Ovis aries: one gene and its partner. The protein of the gene in region 1 interacts with the protein of each later gene in a pairwise test. Links are inferred from orthologs where the notes say so. Each region holds a gene or a part of one and is shown in the gene's direction. Other genes may lie near its edges.

Region 1 (10,287 bases):
TGTCTTGACTGTGTAGGATTGGACCTGTTCATGCCAGTTCCCTTGGGGTCGGGGTTTTACCCTGTGGCCTCTGTGAGTGACAGATGGAGATAGTGTACCCCCTCTAGAGCTGGGACTAGTTCTTTGTGATTCAGTGTTGAGAAACTCTGAAGTCAGACTGCCCTTGGATCTAGTGCAGGCTCTGACAGTCATTTGCTGAGCAACTTTGTGTAGTTTGCTCATCTGTAAAATTGAAATCATTGCTGAGTTCAATCAAGTTGAGTTCTTTTGACTATTAATTGAGACGGTGTCATGCAAAGCACTTAACGTGACCCAGTGTCTGGCTCATAGTAAACACTAAATGTTTGGTATTTTTATTCTGTTGTATGCCTCAGTCCTTAGTGAATGGTAGGTTCATTATTAAGTGGTGAATATAGATTGAGATTAGTTCAGTTTATTACACAAAGAGCTTTATATGTGATTTATTGAGTCAGGGTCACCTTTAATGGGTCACTAAGAGTGGTTTAGGGAGAACATGGTTATTTGCCACAAGTCATCTGGAATGTCTTCTTGCCCCCAAATTAATCGTTTTCATTATTAATAGTGATATAACAAAAACTTACAGATATTGAATGAATGCTTGTTCTGTGCCTAGAAATATTCTGATTGTTTACATGTTTTCTTTTGAGGAAGATACTGATCTGATTAAATAGATGAGGAATATAGAACCAAACTTCAGAGACTTTTAAGTAACAAGCCTCAGCTCTGAAGACTAGAAATTGATGACATTATCACTCAGGGACCACAAATACAAATATCTTTAGAAACCTGGCAGGTAAAATAAGTAGATGAAGCTGCTGAGTGGAGATTATAGTAACTGGGATGTTCATATCTCATTTAAAAGGGGGCAGGGCTACTCAGACTTCAGCCTCCTGATGTGAAGAACTGAATCATTGGAAAAGACCCTGATGCTGGGAAAGGTGGAGGGCAGGAGGAAAAGGGGATGACAGAGGATGAGATGGTTGGATGGCATCACTGACTTGATGGACATAAGCTTGAACAAGCTCCAGGAGTTGGTGATGGACAGAGAAGTCTGGCGTGCTACACAGTCCATGGGGTCACAGAGAGTCAGGCACAACTGAGCAACTGAACTGAACTGAGGGCTGCTCAGTTCCAAGGAATTGTTCATTCATGAGTATACTGGTACAGCATGGTAGCTACAAGTTCAGATAGCTTGATTCACATCCAGGCTCTGACACTTTCTAGCTGTGTGGCTGTGGTTAACCTTTATCTGTTTCACCATTTATAAAAGGGAACTAATAATAGTATTTACATGAAGTAGTGAACGTAGTGAAGTAGGGTTGTTGTAAGGCTTAAATGACCTACTATGTGCAATTTGCATGTGTGGCACACATAAACCTCAAAATGTTAGCGCTACATAAATATTTGTTAATCTGATAAGTATTTGAGTTTCAAACATTGTCCTCAGTGTCCAGAATATGGCAGTGTACACAAATTGTCTCTACTCAGGGGAACTGAAGTAGATAACCAATAACAGATATTTCAAATTTTTTCTGAAAATGGAATCAAGCAGGGTAAAGGAAGAGAGAGTGGCAGGGAGTGCTATGTTAGATTGAGTGATCAGAGAAGATACTTCTGCTGCTGCTGCTGCTAAGTCGCTTCAGTCATGTCTGACTCTGTGTGACCCCATAGACGGCAGCCCACCAAGCTCCCCTGTCCCTGGGATTCTCCAGGCAAGAACACTGGAATGGGTTGCCATTTCCTTCTCCAGTGAGTGAAAGTGAAAAGTGAAAGTGAAGTCGCTCAGTGGTGTCTGACTCTTTGTGACTCCATGGACTACAGCCTATGAGGCTCTTCCATCCATGGGATTTTCCAGGCAAGAGTACTGGAGTGGGGCGGCATCGCCTTCTCCGAGATACCTCTGAGGAGATGCCATTTGAGCAGAACCCTGAATGAAGGGAGAGAATCAGTCACATTGGGATTTAGGGAGAGGGTTGGTGGAAGGAACAGAAATCTCAGGGACCGAAGATGGGAGTATGCTTGTCATGGTTGAAGAACAGCTAGAAGGCAAGTTTGGGATGAAATCGGGAGAAAGGGAGGAAATGAAGTTAAAGCGGACACAGGGACCAGATTGTAAGGAGCCTTACCCCCCATTCAGTCCAAAAAGAAATCGTCCTAATTTAAACTATTTGTTCTGGACTTTGAATGCTGAGAGATACTGCCCTAGATCAAACTTAACTGAATCTCCTTAGTCCTACAAGTTACCCAAACTCAGAAACCAAATTTTAATAGATTTCTATAGATTGTTGTGTGAAGCCCATGAGGTTTTTGCACCTGCTATATGTACCCCCCGACTGACATTCTTTGCCTAGATTTCCTTCCTTTTTAAACTGTTCTTTAGTCCTTCTTTCTTACAGCACTCTTAAAGCAACAATTTCACATGTGTGAACTTTTTAGTATTTGTCTCTCTCACTAGATAACAAGGTTCTATTAGGTTCGGAATGTGTTTCTGTTAATATATTCAGCACGTTTATTGAGTGCCTCCTGTGTGCTGGCCCCGGGGATAAAATTTTGAACAATACAGACATTTTTTCGGAAAAGATACTATTCTCTAGTGAAAGATTTTTAAAAGGTAAACATGATAATTAAACATTGTGATATGTGCTATACAGGCAGTAAAATACTCAGGTACAGAATAGTGGGGTACTTTAAATAAGATGATCAGAAACAAAATCTATGAGGCGATGACATAACAATAAGTGAGAGAAGACCTGCCTAGTATGCTGAGTCAAGGGGAATATTGATAGATTTTAAGTTGGAGAGGTAAGTAGGGGGAAATGATACGGGTCACGTAGACCATAGTAAGGAGCTTGGAGTTTATTCTTTCTGTAGTGGGTAATTATTAAAAGATTTTAAATTAAAGATTTACTAATAAATATTTTTAAGTAGTTGATATTGCAGCTATGTGGAAAATGGATTGTAGGGGGAGATAATGTCAGTGGAGAGAATGGGTAAAGAATGGAGTCTAGAGCAGTAATTTAGGAGAAAGCCAGACGTTGACACAATACAGTCAGAACCAAATTCAGCCTGACACTTTTTTTTTGTAGATAAAGTTTTATTGGAGCACAGCCATATCCATTTGATTATGTGTCTGTAGCTACTTTTGTGTTACAAAGGCAAGCGACAATAAAACCTGCAAAATCTAAAATAATAAACAGCTAAAATCTGACTCTACAGAAAAAGTTTGCCAATAGTTATTTTGAAGAGTTGGTGGCATGGAGGAAAGTGATGGCTTTTTTTTTTTTTTTTTGAAGTAGAACCACCAGGACATTCTGATGGATTGAATGTAGGGAGTAATATCAGAAGAGGAATAAGGACTGACTAAAGGTTTTCATGTGAAGAGTTGACTCATTGGAAAAGACTTTGATGCTGGGAGGGATTGGGGGCAGGAGGAGAAGGGGACGACAGAGGATGAGATGGCGGGATGGCATCACTGACTCGATGGACATGAATCTGAGTGAACTCCGGGAGTTGGTGATGGACAGGGAGGCCTGGTGTGCTGTGATTCATGGGGTCGCAAAGAGTCGGACATGACTGAGCGACTGAACTGAACTGAAAGGTTTTCTACCTTGAAATGTTGGCTAGACAGTGATTCCTTTTAATGAAATTGGGAAAGACTAGTTTCAAGCAAGGTTTAATGACTATCATTTTTGACATTTTTCTTCTTCATTTTTATACTCATAGTGTGGTACAGTATCTGGTGAATAGCTGGTTTTAAATCATATACATTGATAATAAGTTAATGAATTAAAGCTCTAAAAAATTACAAGGCATATGCTGGATAGGCAGACAAATCATATGAAACAAGTAATGTGTTAAGACTTACCTTAAGGCTTTACATAGGTTTTAAGGTTCAGATAGTACTGTTTTGAAAATAGGGTCCATTGACTTATCTCTGTACAGTGAATCGGAGTGTTATTTTCACATTAGAACATTTTTAGAAGAGTGTAATAATTCTCAAACAGTTTGAAAACAAAATTAGAGTGGGAGAACAGATTTTTTTTTTTTTTGCTGTGCTTCTGATTGTTATATAAAAACAACTTTATCAAAGTTAGAATAATGGTTTTACTTTTGAGGAACAACTGATGGGGAATAGCATAATGAGCTATTCTTACTGGAGAATATAGACATACTAGTTATAATCATGAATGTTATAAAAGCCTAATTCAGAATCATTAGAAAGACCCTGGGAAACTACCAATGAGCATATGATCTCTGTGAGAAATGTGTGGAAAAAATAATTCCTAGTATTCTTACAATTGTAGCCATACAATTCCTCTGGAATTCTTGTTACATGAAATCCCATTAGGAAAATTATTTTTATTTAATTTCCTCTATTTGGTACCTTTTAATTGTACCAATATTATACTCTGTAGAGGCTTCCCTCCCCACTCCATAGTACTGTATTTTCTGAATACAAAATAAAATAGCTGTACAGTTAAGCACAGAATGAATTCATACATAGAGAGAAGTCAGACTTTTCAAAGGATAGTGAAATGATAGCAGAAGGAGATCTTAGAATTCATCTCGTTTTTAAGAACCTCAGCTTTTAAAAACCTCGAATGGAAAAAGCTGTGATAAAGCTGGTGCATGTCACTCTGCTGTTGAACTGGGGATTCCCTTGATTAGCTGTATACAGCTTCAAGGAACGTTTTAGAAACAGCAGTATTGACAGTGAGACGAAATAGCTTTGTTCAGAAAAAGGACATGGAATAACTAAAAAAGCAGACAGAAGAATCACAAAAATATAGCTGTTCAGAGGACTTTAGCTTACCTATTACCGAGTCCTATTCACAGTTATTCTGCCATATGTATGAATGCTATACATAATGTTCATGAGTCATCAGGTGATTCTTAGTGGTTCTTAATCCTGGCTGTGCATCAGAATCACCTTTTGAATTTAGCAATAATAACCAACCACAATAATAAAACCAAATGCCCATGAGTCATTTGCCCACAATAATAAAACCAAATGCCCATGACCCATATCAACCTAATCAGCATAAATAGATTAAGCATGTATGGGGAGATTATGACACATAGGGTGAGAAAAACTAGAAATAAATTATATCCCCTTTATTATGATAATATACTTTAGGAAGATACCTATGATTTGTCTTGTTTCAAATTTTGGGAAGGGTATTTATGTGAGGAATATTTTTTTCTCATAGAAGTGGATAAATGAGGTGTTACTTTAAAAGTTAGATTTGGAAAGTTTATTTTCTCCTTTATTATTATAGATATATGGCATCCAGGAGAACGATGTCTTGCCCCTTCTCCAGATAATGAAAAACTTTGTGAAGCAAGCATAAAATCTATCACAGTGGATGAAAATGGGAAGTCATTTGCAGTCATCTTATATTCAGATTTTCAAGAAAGGAGAGTACCTCTTAAAAGACTTCAAGAAGTAAAATCTGTTAAAGATTGCTCCAGGAATTTTATATTTGATGATGAAGATTTGGAAAAACCTTATTTCCCAGACAGAAAATTTCCATCGTCAGCTGTTCCTTTTCAACTATCTGAAAATGGAGACTCCATTCCTTATACTATCAATAGGTATTTAAGAGACTACCAAAGGGAGGGAGCCCAGTTTCTCTATGGACACTTCATCCAAGGAAGAGGGTGTATTCTTGGTGATGATATGGGACTTGGAAAAACTGTACAGGTATTTATTTACTTTATAATTAAAATTTAATAAAGTCATGCATATATGTCATGTGTATTACATACATGAATGGATACCATCTGCAAATTTCTGTTTGTATCCCAGAACTTATTATAATTATTTTGTGTGTGTGTTTGTCTCACACAGTACTTAAGGATGGTGTTTAGTCAATTTTTTAACCTCAGTACTTATTTAGTACTATGAAATACGTTATTTAAAGTAATGTTTTAGTATAATTTGACTTGTTTTTACCTTTGATAATGTTAATACTAGGATAGTTAGTATTTATATTTAGATTAATTTAACTTTCTTAATGATACCTTATGGAAGGAAAGTATTCTGACAATTGTTAAGCTACACAGCATGGTTCAATTTTCTGCAGGCCTTTTGAACATATTGTTTGGAGTTTATCATAGCAGAGGTTTCTTAGTTTAGGATCTCTGGGCCACTAGGAATTCAGTTGGTGGACTTTAGAGAGGCCTCTTGTTTCTCTAAAATATGTACCAGAATTAGCACATGAATATACTTTTCTTCAGATAGGCTTATGTTAGGTATCTATTGCTGTATAACGAATTATTAAAGATATAGCAGCTTGAAACAATACACATTTATCATGTTACGGTTCTGTGGATCAGGAATCTGGGTACCATTTAGCTGGGTCTTTTGGCTGAGTTTCTCTTAAGGCCATAGTTATTTCAAAGTTGTACTAGGGGGGATTCACTTCCTATCTTGTGTGGCTGTTGCAGGGCTCAGTTCCTTGTGTGTTGTTAGACTGAGGCCACTGTTTCTGCATGAGCTATTAGCAAAGCCCTCTCTTGGTTGCTTGCCAACTGGGCCATAGTGGGCATGAAATATAGTCATGGATACCAAGAGGTGGGAATTTGGGGGAGCCTTGTCAGAAGCTGTATACCACAAAGGTTAGTAATTCAGAAGGACTAGAGTTCTGAATCTAGACTTTATACTAAACAGTCACTCTGAATTTTCAGGAGTGTTTGTCTAGTGTGTGATTAAGTCTTTTTGTGTTTCCTTCTTTACAACTGAATTTAAGCTATTTTTTCTTCATGACAGTTCCATTGTTAGTGGAGTTCAGAGGTAAGTGAAAAATTAAATTAACTTTTACTTTCAAATTAACAGTTGAGAATACCAAATAATGGCTATGTTTAAAGTTCTGGTGTAAAAAGTTAGGGTAAAATTAAGTCCCTCAGTAATCATGGTGTATTACTTTTAGCCATACTCTATTTTCTTTTAATCTCAGGCAATGCACATAGTTTGAGACTTGCACATTGAAGGTGTTAAGTAATTGCTTGTGGAATAAATGAATTTACTTTCTCAGGAGAATAGGTTCAAAGAAAAAAGAAAAGAGCCTTTGGGAAACTACCAGCTGTGACTGATATGCCGATGACTACTAGAGGAAAATAAATAATAATTCCTCTGTGACTGTCTTTACATATACTTTTACTGTTTTTCCCATGCTAGAATGTTCTTTCCAACATGATTTTGACTAGTCAATGCCTGGTCATCTTCAATATCAGAAACATGAGGTGCTACATCTGCTATGTGAAGATGGTATTATGCCTTTGAGCAGCAGAGGAAAGAACATTTTTCAAACTGTAAAAATTGTCTTTGAATCTTTGATTTTATATTCATTGATATTATAAAAAATGTCATTACTATACATTTTCAAAATATAGGTATAGGAAACCTCAACCCTGAGACAAATGGTGGGATTGCTGATAATTACAGCTTTCTTTGGTTATTATCAATACCATTTTTTTGCATAATATGATCTTTAGTTGATTCAAAAGCTATACAACAATTTAAAACTTATTTAGATCATAAGTCATGTTGTTCCCTCAAGAACATAGTAATGAAGAAAATAATCATATTTTCTTTATTTTCATTCATGGAGAAAATGCCATAGTACCCAATGTGAAAGGTTAATTAACCTCCAGAGCCACAAAGCTTTTAAAGCAGAAACAAAAATGTCCTAGCATTTTGAAGGTAAATTGCTTTTCTCATTTTGGCATGTATTAATAGTCTAGATTTTAGGAATAGAACTTCGTAAGGCTAAATGGGCTAGGTTCCCTTTCAAAATAACACACTGTTGTTTCTGTTGTTGTTTAAACCAAGCAAAAATTATCGTACTTTGTGAAGTATGATTCCAAAATACTCTCTTACCTTTTTATCTCCCAGGAAGATGAAAAATAAGGAATGTAGGTTTTAAAAAATTATATAAGAAATAGATAATTTTTGCCATGCTTTCTGTTGGTCTGAGAGAATGTTTGTTGCCTTATTGCCCCATGTCTGATTTATGCTGTATATCATGAGTGTGTGTGAGAAAAAATAGACTATAAAAACGTTTGCCTGACAGAGTTTCAGAGGAATGTCTGTAAAAACAAAGCTTTTCCAGAGTGATGCATCATTTCTGAAATGCAGTTTTTCCCCTTTTTCTATTCTGTAGGTGGCTGATTAAATAGTTTTTTCTTCTTTTCATCCTTAACCATAACTTTAGAACTACTGTATTCCACATTAAAGCAGATGGTCTTTTTTTTCAGATTAGTTTTGTAAATTGGCATTGTAAATATGTTGTTCACCTTCTGTGAATTAAGGTTTTGATAGACCTCTTCTGTGCTAGTATGAGTGATAGAGAGGGCTGCTGCTGCTGCTGTTGCTAAGTCGCTTCAGTCGTGTCCGACTTTGCAACCCCATAGATGGCAGCCCACCAGGCTCCCCCATCCCTGGGATTCTCCAGGCAAGAACACTGCTGTGGGTTGCCATTTCCTTCTCCAGTGCATGAAAGTGAAAAGTGAAAGTGCTACATCTACACAAAATGATGTGTTACCTTTGCCCTCTTGGAGTTGTGACCAAATGACAAAGTTTCCCAGCTTCCTGTTCTTAGTCCCAAATGACTGGTTTCCCAGTTCCCCTTTCTTCTCTTGCACTTGTCAACAAAGATGAGGGTCGAAGTAATTAGTGCTGTTTACAGACCAACCTAGATAGCATATTCAAAAGCAGAGACATTACTTGGCCAACAAAGGTCCGTCTAGTCAAGGCTATGGTTTTTCCAGTAGTCATGTATGGATGTGAGAGGTGGACTGTGAAGAAAGCTGAGCGCTGAAGAATTGATGCTTTTGAACTGTGGTGTTGGGGAAGACTCTTGAGAGTCCCTTGGACTGCAAGGAGATCCAGCCAGTCCGTTCTAAAGGAGATCAGTCTTGGGTGTTCTTTGGAAGGAATGATGCTAAGGCTGAAACTCCAGTACTTTGGCCACCTCATGCGAAGAGTTGACTCATTGAGAAAGACTCTGATGCTGAAAGGGATTGGGGGCAGGAGGAGAAGGGACCGAGGATGAGATGGCTGGATGTCATCACTGACTTGATGCACATGAGTTTGGGTGAACTCCAGGAGCTGGTGATGGACAGGGAGCCCTGGCGTGCTGTGATTCATGAGGTCGCAAAGAGTCGGACACGACTGAGTGACTGAACTGAACTGAACACTCCTGGTACATAAACTCCACCTGTGCTGTTCTTTCCATTCTCCCTATGTCTGTCTGCTTTTTGGATGTTGATACACTACTGTTACATTACCTTAAAATAATGAGGTAAAAAGTTTGTCAGTGATTTTACGTTAACTCCTCTTGTTAGTGTGTATTCTCAAATAAATTCAAATTTATTTTCATTTCAAGTCACTTTTTGGGGATAGGTAACTAATCTGTTAGGAAGGAGTGTGGATTATTTAAAAGGGATGCAAAGATTTTTCTTTAAAATTTTAAATGTATTTAGTGAATTCAGTATGGGAATTCCCTGTGGTTAGATTTCCATGCTTTCCCTGCCAAGGGCTTGGGTTCAATCTCTGCTCAGGGAACTAAGATCCCATAAGTAGTGTGGCATGGCCAATAAATAAATTAAAGGGATGTAGAGATTTTTCTTTAAAATCACTAATGTATTTAGTGAATTAAGCTAATCCAAAATTAGAGTTTGCCTTGAGAACCCCATGAACAGTATGAAAAGGCAAAATGATAGGATACTGAAAGAGGAACTCCCCAGGTCAGTAGGTGCCCAATATGCTACTAGAGAAGAGTGGAGAAATAACTCCAGAAAGAATGAAGGGATGGAGCCAAAGCAAAAACAATACCCAGGTGGGGATGTGACTGGTGATAGAAGCAAGGTCCAATGCTGTAAAGAGCAATATTGCATAGGAACCTGGAATGTCAGGTCCATGAATCAAGGCAAATTGGAAGTGGTCAAACGAGAAGGCAAGAGTAAACGTCGACATTCTAGGAATCAGCAAACTAAAATGGACTGGAATGGGTGAATTGAACTCAGATGACCGTTATATCTACTACTGCGGGCAGGAATCCATTAGAAGAAATGGAGTAGCCATCATGGTTAACAAAAGAGTCCGAAATACAGTACTTGGATGCAATCCTAAAAACGACAGAATGATCTCTGTTCATTTCCAAGGCAAACCATTCAATATCATGGTAATCCAAGCTTATGCCCCAACCAGTAATGCTGAAGAAGCTGAAGTTGAATGGTTCTATGAAGACCTATAAGACCTTT
Region 2 (10,729 bases), on another chromosome or scaffold:
AGAATTCATGGCTTAACTTTTCTTCTCTCCATCTTGAAGTTTCTGTCCTAATGCCCATTGAGGGCGTATGGGCATCTTCTCCATACATATGGCCTTCGCAGCTTGCCAAAATGTCTTTAAGGTTTGTAGAAAAACAGCACTTGAAAAGCTGTCTCTTCTCTCATTTCCTTTATGCTCCGTCTCCCTCTTGTTTTGAGCTCTGTTCACAGCTAATGTGACCGAGGGTCCACCAGGAGGGATGGGGCGGGGGGTTCCACATCACTTTGAGGCTGCCTAAAAACACAAAACCAAGGCAACAATAGCCTCTGACCTTTTGAAATTAGCAAGTACAGTATGTGCTGTGGGCCACCCTGCCCCTCCTGGCCTGTCTCTCTCCGACCCCCACACCATCCTGAGTGCCTGTCAGCGTGCTTCTTCCTCGGGTTCCTCCCTGTCCCTCCCCTCACCCCTCCAAGGTGACTTCTCATCCTCCAATAAAGCATGTCGAAACTTAAATTTACCGCTCCTTCACGATACCAGCTTGGCATCTACCCAGGAACCCAGCGAGGTCCCTCCCCTGGCGCGGGCAAGGCCAATCAGATGAAAACCATCAAGCCAGGCCAGCCCCAGTGCCCTGACCCCGCACGCCCGGTGCAGCTGTGGCCCCGCTCTGGGCAGGGCTGCGTGAGAACAGTGAGGTGCGTTTCCCTTACTATCCTCGGGATCTGTCTGTGCTTGCCTGCTCCTGCTCCAAGACCTCGGGCCCCCTGAGCTCAGTATTCAGACGGCTTCAGGAGCTGACTCCCACCCATTCAGATCCCTCCGCTTGGGCTTCTGGTCCCTGCTCGGGCCTCCGCGCAGAAGGGTTTTTATGCAGATGGGCGTCCTACATTTTTCAGCTGGCTAAGGGAAGAGGTTTTTAAGGAGAGAGAGGAGGAGTTTCTCCTAGTAGTAAGTGTTCCCCATTCCTTTGCTCACAAAATGATGCGTCTCCGCTGATTAGACTTGGGGTTGTCTTGGCTCACAACTTGTGGGAACGGAGGGCAGTGAGGTCACTAGAGGTGACTGATGTTGGAACCTTTGGGAATCAGAGGAGAAGCAGGTCCTGCCTCATGAAGAGGCTGGAGGCAGAGCCCAGGTTCAACCCGCAACTAAACAACTCCAGTGCCCAGCAGGTTGATTTTGTGATTTTAACTCCTTGATTTATCTTCTTAATCCTTGACTGACTTAAACTTTCCTGGACCAGCCTACCTCCATAGGATTGAGGCTTAGTTATGAGGTGAAAATGCTCTGGGGAAACCAAAGTCACCACACAGTTAGAAGTGAGATCTGGCTCTGATTTTCCAAGCTCTGGATCACACTCCCCTATCCTGTGCCTCTAGTATATGGAAGTAATTATTCTATTATTACATGATTTGTTGTAAGTCACACTTCAAGTGGCTGTCTTGATAATTTCACATTTGGGGGGTAGATGGTTCTGATCATCCTTTTGCCTCAAAAACACAAATGTTTAGTCATGTCTGCCACTTGGGATCTTTTTTGGCCTGCCTTTTTCAAGCTATTTCAAGCTGTATGATTTTATGTAAAACTAGATGCTAACTCCACGTGTGAACCGCAGCGCTCAGCATCAAGTTGAAAGCAAAGTGAGGAGACATGGGCAACTTTATGGAGCAGCCCTGTTCTCAGAGGGAACACTTTAGTCACCAATTTGAATATTAATTATTAGTAACTCCCACTTTCTAGATAAAAAATGTAAACAATGTTTTTAATTTCTCTTCCTGCACCCAAGGGACTCACCTTGCCCCTACTTGCCCTACCTGGGGGTGCATGCCTCCAGCAGGGAGCTGTGAACTTGGTTTTTCTGGGACTTCTCTTCCCCCTCCGCCCTTCCCGATCAGAGCTTTCCAAAATGAAGCTCCCCCTCTCCCTTCTCCTTAATTTCTGGTTGGAAGGAGGGGCCTGGGAATTGTCCCTTTAACAGTCCAACCAGCAAGCCACAGGACTGGAAAGGTCAATTTTCATTCCAATCCCAAAGAAAGGCAATGCCAAAGAATATTCAAACAGACTTTATTTTTTTGGGGCTCCAAAATCACTGCAGATGGTGATTGCAGCCATGAAATTAAAAGACGCTTACTCCTTGGAAGAAAAGTTATGACCAACCTAGATAGTATATTCAAAAGCAGAGACATTACTTTGCCGACTAAGGTCCGTCTAGTCAAGGCTATGGTTTTTCTGGTAGTCATGTATGGATGTGAGAGTTGGACTGTGAAGAAGGCTGAGCGCCAAAGAATTGATGCTTTTGAACTGTGGTGTTGGAGAAGACTCTTGCGAGTCCCTTGGACTGCAAGGAGATCCAACCAGTCCATTCTGAAAGAGATCAACCCTGTAATTTCTTTGGAAGGAATGATGCTAAAGCTGAAACTCCAGTACTTTGGTCACCTCATGTGAAGAGTTGACTCATTGGAAAAGACTCTGATGCTGGGGAGGGATTGGGGGCAGGAGGAGAAGGGGATGACAGAGGATGAGATGGCCAGATGGCATCACGGACTAAATGGACGCGAGTCTGGGTGAACTCCAGGAGTTGGTGATGAACAGGGAGGCCTGGCGTGCTGCGATTCATGGGGGTCACAAAGAGCCGGACACAACTGAGTGACTGAACTGAACCACACAATTGCACTTATCTCATACGCTAGCAAAGTAATGCTCAAAATTCTCCAAGCCAGGCTTCAATACTACATGAACCAAGAACTTCCAGATGTTCAAACTGGATTTAGAAAAGGCAGAGGAACCAGAGATCAAATTGCCAACGTCCGTTGGACCATCAAAAAAGCAAGACAGTTTCAGAAAAACATCTGCTTTATTGATTATGCCAAAGCCTTTGTGTAGATCACAACAAACTGGAAAATTCTTAAAGAGATGGGAACACCAGACCACCTTAACTGCCTCCTGAGAAATCTATATGCAGGTAGAAGCAATAGTTAGAACAACAGACTGGTTCCAAATCAGGAAAGGAGTACATCAAGGCTGTATATTGTCACCCTGCTTATTTAACTTAATTGCAGAATGTATCATGCGAAATGCTGGGCTGGATGAAGCACAAGCAGGAATCAAGATTGCCAGGAGAAATATCAATAACCTCAGATATGCAGATGATACTACCCTTATGGCAGAAAGCAAAGAACTAAAAAGCCTTTTGATGAAAGTGAAAGAGAGTGAAAAAGTTGGGTTAAGACTCAACATTCAGAAAAGTAAGATCATGGCATCTGGTCCTATCACTTCATGTCAAATAGATGGGGAAACAATGGAAACAATGACAGACTTTATTTTTTGGGCTCCAAAATCACTGCAGATGGTGACTGCAGCCATGAAATCTTCATTCGCTCCTTGGAAGAAAAGCTATGGCAAACCTAGACAGCATATTAAAAAGCAGAGACATGTCTTTGCCAACAAAGTCCAAGTCCAAGCTATGGTTTTTCTAGTAGTCACGTATGGATGTGAGAATTAGACTATAAAGAAAGCTGAGCGCTGAATTGATGCTTTTGAACAGTGGTGCTGGAGAAGATTCTTGAGAGTCCCTTGGACAGCAAGGAGATCCAACCAGTCCATCGTAAAGGAAATCAGTCCTGAATATTCATTGAAAGGACTGATGCTGAAGCTGAAACTCCAGTGCTTTGGCCACCTGATCAGAAGAACTGACTCATCTGAAAAGACCCTGGTGCTGGGAAAGATTGAAGGCGGGAGGAGATGGGTATGACAGAGGATGAGATGGTTGGATGGCATCATCAACTCAATGGCCATGAGTTTGAGTAAACTCCAGGAGTTGGTGATGGATAGGGAGGCCTGGTGTGCTGCAATCCATAGGGTCACAAAGAGTCGGACACGACTGAGCGACTGAACTGAACCAGCAAGCCTCAAATGGAGCCACATTTGGGAACTGTTAAAAAAAAATACTGTTAAAATTATTCACGACCCTTGTTAAGGAACAGTAAGGAAACTATTAGAGAGTCTACTAGGTAGGGTTTTCTGTGGGGAAGAGGTTGAACTCAACTCCCAGTACAAGGGAAGTGCCTGGGTGGGGGGTCAGTGGATGGATAATTACTAAGAGGAAACACCAGAGTGAAGTGGGCTTCTGGCTACATCGACCTAATAAGATTATTGCTGTGTTAGTTCAGTTGCTCAGTCATGTCCAACTCTTTTTGACCCCATGAATCGCAGCACGCCAGGCTTCCCTGTCCATCACCAACTCCCGGAGTTCACCCAAACTCATGTGCATCGGGTCAGTGATGCCATCCAGCCATCTCATCCTCTGTCGTCCCCTTCTCCTCCTGCCCCCAATCCCTCCCAGCATCAGAGTCTTTTCCAATGAGTCAACTCTTCGCATGAGGTGGCCAAAGTATTGGAGTTTCAGCCTCAGCATCATTCCTTCCAATGAACACCCAGGACTGGTCTCCTTTAGGACGGACTGGTTGGATCTCCTTGCAGTCCAAGGGACTTGCAAGAGTCTTCCCCAACACCACAGTTCAAAAGCATCAATTCTTTGGCTCTCAGCTTTCTTTACAGTCCAACTCTCACATCCATACATGACCACTGGAAAAACCATGGCCTTGACTAGACGGACCTTTGTTGGCAAAGTAATTTCTCTGCTTTTTAATATGCTATCTAGGTTGGTCATAACTTTTCTTCCAAGGAGTAAGCGTCTTTTAATTTCATGGCTGCAATCACCATCTGCAGTGATTTTGGAGCCCCCCAAAATAAAGTCTGACACTGTTTCCACTGTTTCCCCATCTACTTCCCAGATGCCATGATCTTCGTTTTCTGAATGTTGAGCTTTAAGCCAACTTTTTCAGTCTCCTCTTTCTCTTTCATCAAGAGGCTTTTAGTTCTTCTTCACTTTTTGCCATAAGGGTGGTGTCATCTGCATATCTGAGGTTATTGATATTTCTCCCGGCAATCTTGATACCATCTTGTGCTTCTTCCAGCCCAGCGTTTCTCATGACGCACTCTACATAAGCGGCCGGGTAATCAAACGTGACCTGGGGGGGATGACGATGGATGAGAATCAGGTGTGGAGGGTGGGCGGACTCCAGCTAATTCAGTATTAGCTGTATTCTCGGTAAAAACGGACAATGTGGAGATGCACGCGGAAGTCCAAAAGGCAGGGCGTTGTTGAGAAGAGTTCAGATCCCTCTCTGAATTTGGTCAAGGAGAGACTTGGTCAGGACCCGGGTCAGCGGAGGTCGGAGTGCCTCACTACACCTTTACCCGGCGAGTCCTGCTCCAACGCCGAGGGCGCAGACCACGCGGCCGCCGGCAGGGGGCGCGCCGGGTCCGCCACGCCGGCGGGCGGCCGGGATCCGGAAGTGCGGGAACGTAGGGGAGCGGGGGCCGGGCCGCGGGGCTCCCCGCTCCCGACCACCTTTCGGATCCGCCTCCCGGGTCCTCCCCGGAAGCCAGGGAGGCGCGCGAGCCCCGAGGTAGGAAGCCCGGCCGGAGGAGTACCGGGAACGCGGGCGGGTGGGTCGCGCGTCCCGCTTCGCCCTCCTCTGGCGGGCCGGCCCCGCTCTCATCGCGCCCGTAGCGGCGCGGGGTCCCCGAGAGCGGGGAGGCGGAGAACTGGGGGCTCCGGGCAGGTCGCTGCGCCCGCGGGGCCGCCCCAGGCCCTCACCCTCCCGCCCCCAGCCGGCGGGGCCCAGGGCCAGGGCCTGGAGGGCCCAGGTGCGAGTCCTGACCGGCCATTTCAAACTTTTTTTTGGTGACTGTGCGAATTGGTAAATGTCAGTTCTTCGTCTGTAAAATGGGCTTCAGAATATCCATCTCATGGTCAAATCAGTATACGCACCGAGCACCGAGCTGTGCTTGTGCGGGGTGGTTAGCGGTGCTCCTTAGATGTGGCAAAGATTGAGGGCGGGAGGAGAAGGGGCCACGGAGGATGAGATGGTTGGATGGCATCACCGACTCAATGGACATGAGTCTGAGCCAACTCCGGGCGTTGGTGATGGACAGGGAGGCCTGGCTGCTGCAGTCCATGGGGTCACGAAGAGGTGGACCACGCTGAGCGACTGAACAACATTAGATGTGGGAATGACTATTAGCACCTCTTGGATTTTCACAGAACGTGCGCGCTGAGCTGTTTTCAGGGTTACTGCTCAGTGGAGGGCAGAGATCTGCACCCTTTGAGTCACAGGGTCGGGGCTGAGTTTCAGCAGGGGCAGGGCGGGAATCCAGTGGGGGTGGGTGGGGAGAGGCCAGATGAGATGAGAACCGGCCCCCGACCCCCAGAGCCCTGGCGTCTGGATTCTGCACATTCAGGCACAATGATATCTGACACACCCGACCAGTCAGAAGTATCTTTGGATTTAAGGGAGTGGGTGTTGGCCAGTGAAACCTCACTGAATCAAAATGGCCTTGGGGTTTCTTATAACCACTCCTAGATAGAGGGAAGGAGAAATCTGTGATGGGAGGAGGGGAGGAAGAGAGCATTGAGAGAGGTTTTAAGGGTAGGATTGTCTGGGCACCCTGGGGACAGTGAGCGTCTCTGGTGGAGAGAAGGGGCACCTTCCTCCTGTGTTGAGGGGCTCAGTGCAGAGGCTCCTGGGAGCATGGGGCCCCACTGCTGGTGGGGGCCCTGGGCCCTGAGTGGAGGGCTTCTTCTCCATGACGCCCGTAGCCTGCCCACTCCCCACGTCCCTCTTCATGCCCTGTGAATGATCCATCTGAGTCTCCTTGGCCCTGCTCACCTCTGGCCTGCCCTAACCAGTCACTGTGGCTGAGGCCTGAGAATGTTCTTATTTATCAGAATTCACTGGACTTTGTTCTTTGTAGGAATTAAAGATGGACTCCTGTTGATGACAAACGGACCTACAGTTCCTGCTGTGAGATGAGAGAGTGGGATTCGCTGTCCTGAAGTCGCTAAGCTTGGACCCTGGTTCCTCTTCATGAGAGACTAAAGAGATGGAAGCCTTAAAGTCTGAGAATAAAAAGAGGGTGCTGCCCACATGGATGACAGCCCAGGTGGCTGAAAAGAGGGCGGTGCAGGTGAAGACCCCCAAGAGGAGACCAGCCACGGTGCCAGCAGCTGCAGCCAGGTGGGGCAGCTTCTGTCCTCCTGGGGGATTAGGACAGGGGAGGGATTGAAGGCCTCACAGTTGCTGGGGCCCAGTTGTCCAGTGTTGGTGGAACAGTGAGGGAGGGTGTTTCAGTCCACAAACGTCTCATCCGCTCTTGGGTGTGCAGGCTGCTGGTGGCTGTGCCCTGCCAGGCTGGCACTGGCTTCTGCCTCTGTCGGTGAATCTCCACCCTCTGGCCCTCATGGGTCAGCTCCCAGATAGTGGCTCCAGCTCTTGAGTTAAACACACACCAGCTAAGCTCTCAGATAGCAATTGTCCAAATTGTCAGTATCTTCATTTGCCGCAGAAATTGTGACCATCCAATGAGGGGGTAGGTGGACCAAGTGATCCCATCTTCCTGCAGATATATCTTTAGGGACGGGCAGACAAGCTGCAGGTTGCCGGGTCGGCCAGAAATCAGAGACTGGGGGGCACGGTGGGGGGGAGGTTGGTTGAATGGTGATATTGGTGGGGGTCTCCAGGCTGCCAGGGAGGGGGTACCCCTGTCCTCTCCTGGCCATAGTCTCAGGTGCTCACTGTCCCTCTCTGACTTCCCTTTCTAAGTTTTCTTCATTGACCAGCCTTGCTTTCTGATCTTTGCTGTGCTGTGCTTAGTTGCTCAGTCGTGTCCAGCTCATTGCGAACCAGCGGACTGTAGCCAGGCTCCTCTGTCCATGAGGATTCTCCAGGCAAGAGTACTGGAGTGGGTTACCATGCCTTCCTGCAGGGGATCTTCCCGACCCAGGGATTGAACCCAGGACTGCATTGTGAGGGGTTTCTTTACTGCTGAGCCACCAGGGAAAGCCCTCCTTTATTGTATTCACACATGGGGGTGAGGAGTGGCATTCAGACATGTCTTGGCCTGTTTGACCTTTTTTGCATCGCGAGCGTGTATGCGCGCGCGGGCGCGTGTGTGTCTCAGGAGCCGGCCATCTCACCCTATTTCTTAGCGGAGTTGACGGATGGTGGGAAACCCCATGGTTGCCCCAAGAACCCCTGTGCCAGTCACTAGTTCCAAGGATTCAGAGGCCACGGCAGTGCCCTGGGGAAGCTACTGCTCTCAGCCCTGGCAGACAGGCCCCGAGATGTGACTCTGGGTCTCATTCTTTCCTGCTGGTGATTCGTGCCTGTCTCTAACTTCATGCTCTTCTCTCAGATTTCCTGCCGTGAGGACTGTGTACTGCATGAATGAAGCCGAAATTGTCGACGTTGCTCTGGGGATCCTCATTGAGGTACAGTCAACTGTGTCTTTTATTTTTGTAAATTTTATTTACGTATATATGTTGGCCGTGCTGGGTCCTTGCTGCTGCTCGGGGAGTGGGGCCTGCCCTCTGGTGGCGGTGAGAGAGTTTCTCACTGCCGTGGTTTCTCTTGTGGAGCACGGGCTCCAGGGCACATGGGCCTCTGCAGTTGGCAGAGCACGCGCTCAGGAGTTGTGGTTCCTGGGTCCAGTGATAGTAGCGTGTGGGCCCTGGGTCGTACAGGCTTCTGTAGTCGTGGCACATGGCTGAGTTGCCCCGAGGCTTGTGGGGTCTTCCCGGACCAGGGCTTGAACCCATATCTCCTGCATTGGCAGATGGACTTCTCACCACTGACCCGCCAGGGAAGCCCAGCTGTGTCTTTTCTGATGACTGGAGACTCTTGGCGGGGGTTCATGCTAATAAAAGAGGCGCCCTGTCTGTTGGCAGCCGGGAGCCTGCTCATCTGCAGCCCGCTCCAGGGGAGGGGTGCCCCTGCCGGGCCCTTGGGGCTGGAGACCTGGGAGGCCGTGGCCGTGTGAGAGAGGGCAGCCCTCCCAGTCTGGGCGGCTCTCTGCTGGTGGCGGGTGGAGGGGACAAGAGTCGTGAACTGCTCGTGTTCTCTGAGGGTCTCCTTCGGGCGAGGTAACTTCTGATCACCATCCTTGGCACCTCGCCGCTGAAGCCCTGGCTTCCAAGAGCGGCTAACGGTTGTCTCACCTTCGAGTGGTGTAGTCCCTGAGAGTTGCTCAGGGCCTTTTATATATTCCTCTCTCATTTAATGCTTGCAATAACCTGCTGGTCGATACTGTCGCTAGTCCCAGTGAGTGAGGCCCGCACTCAGGGTTCGCGGCCTGCCCTTCCGTGTCCGTGGGGTCCACTTGTCGTCCCTGCGCCGCTGTTCCTGAGGCCCCTGCCCGTCGCTCGCCCTGCTGGTCCTGATTTCTGCACCGCCCGAGAAGGAGGGCGGGGAGGGGCAGAATCGGGTGAAGGGAGGGGGCCATCTGTGATCTGGGAGCTGGGCCCGGCCCCCCGGCGCTGGCTTTACAGGTGCTACTGGGTACGTTCTGTGTCCTTGCATGTTAGGGAAGTAAAACCCATCTGTTTGCCTGCCGTTTCTTCTGCTCAGGAGGACCGAAAACAGGAAAAGCCGTTGGAGCCGCCACCTCTGGCAGGCGCTGATAAGCCAGAGCGCTCCCCGGCCAGCCCAGCGCCGCCGTCCCCAAGTCCCCGCTGGAGCCGAAGCGAGGACAGTGAGGAAGACGACTGTGGGGCAGACGGCCCTGCCCTGGGGCCCTCGGGTTCTGGCACGGCCTGCAGCAGAAGCCTCGAGGAAGACCAGGACGAGCTAAAATACGTCAGGGAGATCTTTTTCAGCTGAGGGACGCACTTCCAGGACCTTCTGCCGAGAGCGGCTGAAGGAGGCTGGGCTTCCCCTCTCAGCCCGAGCGCTGCCCTCAGACTGTGACAGCTTCTGCTCCCAGCGTCAAGCCTCCCTGGGCTGGGTGGATTCACCAGGGGAGGTGAAGAGTCAGTGAGCTCCCCCCAGAATTCCTGCTCTCTGCTGTCCGTGCTCAGGGGCCTGGGAGCTCAACACTGTCTTATTCAGGTACCTGGTTCCAGGGAAATGAGATCATGGGGGTCAAACTTACTGGAACTGAAGAGTCAGCTTAATAATTTTCAAGGAAAAACCAGTATGGCTGCTAAGTACCCTGCAGTTCCTACGGTTTGGCCACCTTAAGGAAGAAGCCTGTTTTTAAAATCACTTCCGTCACGTGTCAGTTGGTCAGTGAGCCCTTGTTGGTCCAACCCTGAACTAGACACCTTCCCCCAGGGCTGGGCTCCCCACTGAGAGCCTGCCTGCCGTTCCATGTACAGATTGGGAGGCCTCCCGACCAACCAGACAGCCCTCCTCCCCTGGGCCGCCACCTTCTGCCACCTTTCTAGGCCTCAGCCCCTGGGCAGTTAGAAAGTAAGAGTGGGATAGGAGCCCAAAAGAGACACAGAGGACAAGACATCACACCGGAGTCCGTGTTTCTGCCTCTATTCAGGTGGCTTTGCACAGGCCTGGGATGAGGCGATCACGTGCTGTACAGATTGTCAGTGTAACAGATGCTGAAGAATACACACAGTGCCCCCGTGCGTGAGTGGCGCTCGTATCCTTTCCGGCGCAGGGTGAGACGGGAGGGCATGCGGCGTTCACATGGACGTGGGCCAGCTCAGTCCGTTCATCGTCCTCTCCTGACCAGGGACCTGGCGTCCTGGGCTCCTGAACACCCGGGTCGCGTGCTGGGAGCGGGCTGCTCGTGCACAGTGGTTAGACCCCTGTTCTGTCTGTCTGCAGGTCCAGGCGCCTTTTCAGGGGAACATTCAAAACCGCCAGGCTCTTCTCTGTGCCTGTCCTGT

What was found.
Region 2: the proteins of ERCC6L2 (region 1) and CYREN interact in binary tests that used the Homo sapiens proteins (3 or more experiments, as listed by UniProt). The two-hybrid records come from large-scale screens. The link is inferred for Ovis aries from reciprocal best matches to the Homo sapiens genes ERCC6L2 and CYREN.

The regions. Positions count from the first base shown.
Region 1 is NC_056055.1:30,332,756-30,343,042, reverse strand, and holds part of ERCC6L2 (DNA excision repair protein ERCC-6-like 2), read left to right. Parts: intron 1-5,300; coding exon 5,301-5,725; intron 5,726-10,287. UniProt on the Homo sapiens protein: Promotes double-strand break (DSB) end-joining and facilitates programmed recombination by controlling how DNA ends are joined in a spatially oriented manner during repair.
Region 2 is NC_056057.1:100,466,785-100,477,513, reverse strand, and holds the start of CYREN (cell cycle regulator of non-homologous end joining), read left to right. Parts: upstream 1-5,335; 5' UTR 5,336-5,453; intron 5,454-6,801; 5' UTR 6,802-6,930; coding exon 6,931-7,064; intron 7,065-8,241; coding exon 8,242-8,317; intron 8,318-9,452; coding exon 9,453-9,704; 3' UTR 9,705-9,932; intron 9,933-10,351; exon of another isoform or gene 10,352-10,374; 3' UTR 10,375-10,729. UniProt on the Homo sapiens protein: Cell-cycle-specific regulator of classical non-homologous end joining (NHEJ) of DNA double-strand break (DSB) repair, which can act both as an activator or inhibitor of NHEJ, depending on the cell cycle phase.